2 linked regions of the Sus scrofa genome follow. The protein of the gene in region 1 binds, or shares a complex with, the protein of each later gene. Links are inferred from orthologs where the notes say so. Each region holds a gene or a part of one and is shown on either strand. Other genes may lie near its edges. The genes, in order: GIPR and GIP.

The links.
Region 2: the proteins of GIPR (region 1) and GIP are in contact, whole or in part, in a cryo-EM structure (PDB 7RA3), measured with the Homo sapiens proteins. The link is inferred for Sus scrofa from reciprocal best matches to the Homo sapiens genes GIPR and GIP. Residues at the interface, in NP_000155.1 of Homo sapiens: Gln30, Thr31, Ala32, Leu35, Tyr36, Trp39, Tyr68, Trp71, Leu88, Trp90, Arg101, Arg113, His115, Asn120, Gln130, Arg131, Leu134, Glu135, Leu137, Gln138, Tyr141, Tyr145, Arg183, Ile187, Arg190, Asp191, Pro197, Gly198, Pro199, Tyr200; in NP_004114.1 of Homo sapiens: Tyr52, Ala53, Glu54, Gly55, Thr56, Phe57, Ile58, Ser59, Asp60, Tyr61, Ser62, Ile63, Ala64, Met65, Asp66, Lys67, Ile68, His69, Gln70, Gln71, Phe73, Val74, Trp76, Leu77, Leu78, Lys81.

What each region holds. Positions count from the first base shown.
Region 1 is NC_010448.4:52,028,870-52,032,685, forward strand, and holds part of GIPR (gastric inhibitory polypeptide receptor), read left to right. Parts: coding exon 1-48; intron 49-258; coding exon 259-319; intron 320-629; coding exon 630-699; intron 700-818; coding exon 819-907; intron 908-998; coding exon 999-1,137; intron 1,138-3,169; coding exon of another isoform or gene 3,170-3,200; coding exon 3,201-3,542; 3' UTR 3,543-3,816. UniProt on the Homo sapiens protein: This is a receptor for GIP. The activity of this receptor is mediated by G proteins which activate adenylyl cyclase.
Region 2 is NC_010454.4:25,160,041-25,162,691, reverse strand, and holds the end of GIP (gastric inhibitory polypeptide), read left to right. Parts: intron 1-334; coding exon 335-436; coding exon of another isoform or gene 437-440; intron 441-1,764; coding exon 1,765-1,774; 3' UTR 1,775-1,909; downstream 1,910-2,651. UniProt on the Homo sapiens protein: Potent stimulator of insulin secretion and relatively poor inhibitor of gastric acid secretion.

The sequences.
Region 1 (3,816 bases):
GAGGCTCGGAGGAGGGCCACTTCCGCTGCTACATGCTCCTCGGCTGGGGTGAGCCCCAACCCTGCCCCCTGCCCAGTCCGGCGCGCCTCCCCTCGCCCAGCCTCCCTGCTGCTCTCCCCCGGGGGTTCTCCTCCCCTCTCTAGGCTTCTGCCTCCCCTTCCCGGCGGGGATTCCGCGGGTCTTGGGCCTGGCTGGGGGGCCGTGCGCGCGCTCTGACAGCTGCGGCGGGGTGGGGGGCGGGGGTTGGGGTCTGCACAGGGGCCCCCGCGCTTTTCGTCATTCCTTGGGTGATCGTCAGGTACCTGTACGAGGACACGCAGTGAGTCGTGGGGCCTGGGGCGGGGCTTGGGAGGTGGGCGGAGCTTTGAGGGACGTGGGCGGGGCGTGATGGAAATTTGGGGCGGTTCTAATTGCCCCTAGGGCCCGGGTGGGGTCTAAAGGAAGGATGTCGCTTAGAAAGTTGTGTTCGAGAAGTACGGTCCGGGGAGGGACGGGGACTGGGCCTAAATCATAGCAGGCGGGGCTTTAAGGAAATGTGGGTGTGGTTTTAAGGAAGGTGGGCGGGGCCTGGGGAGCTTGATCCCTTGAGCCTATGACTTTCTGTCTTAGCTCTACTCCCCCTCCTCCAGGTGCTGGGAGCGGAATGATATCAAGGCCATTTGGTGGATCATAAGAACCCCTATCCTCCTAACCATCTTGGTACGGACGGCCCCACCTCCTCCAGGCTGGTCTCAGGGATTTCCCACCCTGGGAAGCAGGGAGCTATGCTTTGTTTTCCAAGACAGTATGGGGCTGGTTGAGTCTTTCTCTCCCCACAGATTAATTTTCTCATCTTCATCCGCATCCTTGGCATCCTCCTGTCAAAGCTGAGGACTCGACAGATGCGCTGCCCAGATTACCGGCTGAGGTAAAGGAGGGCGGTGGGGATGGAGGGGAAAGTGGTTGTGTGCAAGATGGGGACCTGGGGCTGTGGGACCACTGCTACCCTCTACCCCCAGGCTGGCTCGCTCCACGCTGACACTGGTGCCTCTGCTGGGCGTCCACGAGGTGGTGTTTGCTCCTGTGACTGAGGAACAGGCCCGGGGTGCCCTGCGCTTGGCCAAGCTCGCCTTTGAGATCTTCCTCAGCTCTTTCCAGGTGCCTAAGCGGGGTGCAGGCTCTACACCCTTTGACATGGGGTCCTCCTACCCAGAGGGGCAGAGGGCTACAATCACCCTGGCGCAGGAGCCGCTGCAGCCACAGAATGGGGCATGAAGATGGGATTTTGTTTATTTATTCTACACAAAGTACTGAGCTAGCTACATTCCAGGCTGGGGAAGTGGCAGGGAGAAGAAGGAGACCAGGCAGCTCCAGAGGTGGTGCCTCCTGGTTCAGATCAAGGGCTTCGGGCCAAATTTAGGTTCTAGCACATTCCAGCTCTGTGGCCTTCACCTCGGGGCAGGAGCAAGGGTGAGGCAGGTGAAGTGCCTCAAGTGCAAAAGGGAAGGAGATGCTTGTTCAACCTTGCACTTGCTTGCCCTATTCTAGTCCCCACCCTGATTTACCTTGTTGGGCCTCAGTTTTCTCATCTCTAAAGTGGGGACAATACTAGTCTCTCTCCATAAGGCCGCTCATTCAAAAAATTCAGGAAAAATTTATTGAACACTTACTATGTATGAAGTCTTCTAGGCTTACTGCAGTAAAACGGCCAAGAACCAAGTAGTCCCTACCCTCTACTGGGAGAGGTAAATGCTAAAGATGCTACTATGTAAGTAAAATATACAGAATATCAGATGGTGAGATGTGCCTAGAGGAGGGGGGGGGAGTTCCGCTGTGGCAAAAGGGGATCTGCAGCGTCTCTGCAGCGCTGGGACATGGGTTTGGTCCCTGGCCACACACATTGGTTTAAGGATTCTGCATTGCTGCAGTTTCAGTGTAGGTCGCCACTGCCGCTGGGATCTGATCCTTGGCCTAGGAATTCCATATGCCACATGGCGGCCAGAAAAGAAAATAAATCAATAAATAAAAGAAAACTGAAGTGAGGAGCAGGCAAAGAAGGATGAAGTTACAGACAGGGTTAGGGAAGGCCTCTCTGAAAAGACACTGGAGCGGAGACCCAAAGAAGAGGAGGGAACAAGGCAAGAAGGTATTTGGGGAAATGTTCCAGGAAGAGAAACACCAAGTGCAAGATCCCTGGGGCAGAAGATGGTACCTGTCACCTGTCATGATGGAGAAAGGCCAGCACGCCTGATGCAGGACAGTCAGCAAGAGCAAGGTGGGGGTAGGACAGAGGTGAGGTACCTGGGCAGGTCCTTGGACCAATTGAAGACTTAAGCTCTCTCTCTGAATGAATTTTTTTTTTTTTTTTGGTCTTTTTAGGGCTGCACCTGAGGCATATGGAAGTTCCCAGGCTAGGGGTCAAATTGGAGATGTAGCTGCTGGCCTACACCGCAGCTCACAGCAACGCCAGATCCTTAACCCACGGAGTGAGGCCAGGGATGGAACACACATCTTCATGGATACTAGTTGGGTTCATCACCTCTGAGCCACAGTGGGAACTCCTTTCCCTCCGAATGAGGTGGGAGCCAAGGAGCAGAGGGACATAATCAGACTTAAACCGGACTGTGAAAAGTGATAATAAGTAACATCTTAATAATTACACAGGAAATAATTGTTTCATATTAACGTGTGGATTACTTAATTATAAATCTATTTTATATTTATTTAAATTTATATGTAAAATATGTAAAATTTAAATAAATATAAAAACAACTTTTTATTAAAGTTTATTAATAATATATATTATGTAGAAAGTTATTATGAGAAACAGAAAAAGGCTTAACTATTGTCCCATGCACCAGAGCGTCTTACATATTAATAATACCTCACTTCTCACAACCACCACTGTATTATTCCTCCATTTTCCAGATGAAGAAACTGAGGCACAGGGGTTAAGCAGCTTGCCCAAGTGGGGAAGCGGTTATTACATCCAAGCAGCCTACTTTTGGGGTCACCTGTTCTTAGCCTCCATCCCCAAGTGCTTAGAAAATTGACCAGGGCCAAGGGCGGAGTCGGGAGCCAGGGAGAAAGTGTCGGCAATAGCCTAAGACCAGAGTGGCAGCAGACGAGGTGGTCTGGGGCCTAGAAAGGGTCCGAAGTCATTAAGAGGTGTTTATAACCCCGCCCCCAGCCCCGATTTAACCCTGCGCCTCGTCTGGCAGGGCTTCCTGGTCAGCGTCCTCTACTGCTTCATCAACAAGGAGGTAGGGAGAGCCTCGGCCCGCCGCCCGCGCCCTCTGGCGGTCGCGCATGGAACGGCGCGCCCGGCGCCGCCTCTGAGCGCAGTCCCGTTGCAGGTGCAGTCTGAGATCCGCCGGGGCTGGCACCGCTGCCGCCTGCGCCACAGCCTCGACGAGGAGCCGCGCCAGCCCCGGGAGCGCGCCTTCCAGACCCTGCGCTTGGGCTCCGGCCACGGCCAGGTCCCCGCGGGCCGCTCTCCGTGCTCAAGGACCCTTCCAGGTCCCGGGGATGAGGCCAGCCATATCTTGGAAAGTTACTGTTAGGCGGCAGGATTCTTGTGTCTATTCAGTTAGCACGTATTTATTGAGCGCCTGCTGTGTACCAGGCCTGGTGAAAAGGGCGCTGGGGAAACGGGTGGTGATGGGGTGAAAGGAAACAGAAGACAAGGTCTCTGTTGTTTTAGGATCACAACTGAGTGGCAGGAACAGACCTGAGGCCGACTCATCAAGCTATATATACACGGTGGAAGAGCTTATCAAGAATCCTTAGAAGGGGGCCTAGGGTGGTCTTGGGGCATCTCTGAGGAGGTTACATTTA
Region 2 (2,651 bases), on another chromosome or scaffold:
TGCCACAGGTGCGCCCTCCCCCAAAAAAGGAGTGAATATCCCCAAAGTAATCTCTTGGGGTTTTGGAATGCATTCTGGGGAACACTTTTCGAGGTGGATGGGTGGGCTGGCTTCCGCTGGATTTCTTTGTCTCTGCCTCTATTGAAGAGCCTATAGTACCAGGCAGACAGATCTGGGTGGAGCTTTGAAAGCTGAGATAACTGAGAGGCAGCTGTGTTGACTTGCACCCCGCCCCCGACCCTGTCCCGCCATCTTGGAGTCCCAAGCCCTGTATTTACTCTCTTGCGGTGGGGCCCAGGCTAAAAGGGCCTGCCGGAGACTTTCTCCTTTGTAGCTCCCTCCCCCAGAACCCCGGTGATGATGATGTGCTAAAGGATGTACTGACTCGAGAGCTGCTGGCCTGGCTGGTGGAGCAGTTGGAGCTCTGCAGACTCCGGTAAGACTTTGGTGGCTTTGGGTGTCTTGCATAGGGTGGTTGTGAGCTTGAGCTTTGGGGTCAGATGTGCGTTCAGCTCTTTGCCCCAACACACACTAACAAATTACTTGGACTCTCTGAGCCTCAGGGTTTTCATGAAAATTGGGGCTAGTGAAACCACTTCAGGGGATTTGGTGGGATTTAAACAAGATAATGCAAGGGACAGGCCGAGAGCAACATCTGCAGAGTACCAAGAGTTTGGTCATGTGGACAATTATTAGTACTACTTGCATTTCTCCCTCAATGTCCTCCAGGTGAGACACTGCTCTCACCTCCCCTGCCCACCTGAGCCCATCCTATCCTTAGCTTTCCTCCTGTATCCTTGTGCCATGCGCAACTTCTCGATGATGGACCCACGAGAGATGGAGGCACGTTGCCCTTCTCTGTAGCTGCTGCTGGTCTCAGTAGTCCTTGAATCCATCTCATCAGCTAGGAAGTCTTTCCGTCTCTTATGTCTCAGAAGCAAGGGATGGCTCAAAACCATGGAACAGGAGTTCCCGTCGTGGTGCAGTGAATAACGAATCCAACTAGGAACCGTGAGGTTGCAGATTTGATCCCTGGCCTTGCTCAGTGGGTTAAGGATTCGGCGTTGCTGTGAGCTGTGGTGTAGGTTGCAGACGAGGCTCAGATCCTGAGTTGCTGTGGCTCTGGCGTAGCCCAGTGGCTACAGCTCCAATTAGACCCCTAGCCTGGGAATCTCCATATGCCATGGGTGTGGCCACAGAAAAGGCAAAAAGACAAAAAGACAAAAAGCAAAAAACAAAACCATGGAACAGATCCTTCCACTTGAAGGGTCAGACAGGACCCTCAATTAAGATGCAGAGGACGGAGTTCCCTTGGGTAGGACAGCTTAAGGATCTGGCATAGTCCCTGCTGTGGCGCCGTTTTGATTCCTGATACATGAAACTTCTGCATGATGCAAGTGTGCCCCCCCCCAAAAAAGATGCAAACACCAAGGCACAGAAACAAAAATAAATTCAGACTTCAGTTCTGGGAAGTTGAGGGACAGAGGGGACAAATTTGGGATGACTTCCTGTACGAGGGTTTGAAGGAAGAGATGGATGTGACCAGAACGGTGAAGAAGAGAGTATGAGAAAGTCTCCCCAGGAAGATGGATAACAGTCTCTGTGCTTTTGGGAATCATTTTGATGATTTATAATTAAAAAGGTAATCTGGAGGTAGGAGCCTTTGAACTCTGGCTGGGCGCCAGGATAAATTTACTTTACTGACTCCAAGCCGATACTGACCCTCTTCTCCACCTCTCCCCCTCCTCCCTCTACTCTGCACAGGTTTCCGTGACACCGACCAAACCCAGCTCAGGATTGGACTCTGCCCTTCACGTACTGAGCTCCTGCCCCAGCTCCACTCCAGGATACCCCAAAGAAACCAAACTAAGTTTAAACCAAAATAAAATCTTTGTGCCCAAAGTCAAAACTTATTCGTGTGGCTACTGAGCACTGATTGCATCATTGTCCTCGTGTGTGTGTGTGTGTGTGTGTGTGTGTGTGTGTGTGTGTGTGCGCGCCACCAGGGCAAAGGAGATACGCCCCTACCCATCTGTCGATTCATCTGTTTTTTTCCACAAACACTTATTGGGCACTTAACATAGGCAGCGACTGTGCTGAACCCTGGGTATACAGCCTGAACCCTGGGTATACAGCAATGATGGAGACAAGACACCATCCTTGGTCCCAAGAAGTTTATAGTCTAGTGGTGGAGAGAGACCTTAATCTTTTCTTTTCTTTTCTTTTCTCTCTCTCTCTCCCTCTCTCTCTCTCTCTCTCTCTCTCTTTTTCTTTCTTTCTTTCTTTTTAGGGCTGCATCTGAGGCATATGGAAGTTCCCAGGCTAGGGCTTGAATCAGAGCTGCAGCTGCCAACCTACAGCACAGCTCACAGCAATGCTGCATCCTTAACCCACTGAGTGAGGCCAGGGATCAGAGCCTCATCCTCATGGATACTGGTTGAGTTTGTAACCTGCTGAGACAAAACAGGAACTCCTTTCTCCCCCATTTGTAAAAGTTTTATTGGAGTTCCCATCGTGGCTCAGTGGTTAACGCATCTGACTAGGAACCATGAGGTTGTGGGTTCGATCCCTGGCCTCACTCAGTGGGTTAAGGATCCGGCATTGCCTTGAGCTGTGGTGTAGATCGAAGATGCAGCTCGGATCTGGTGTGG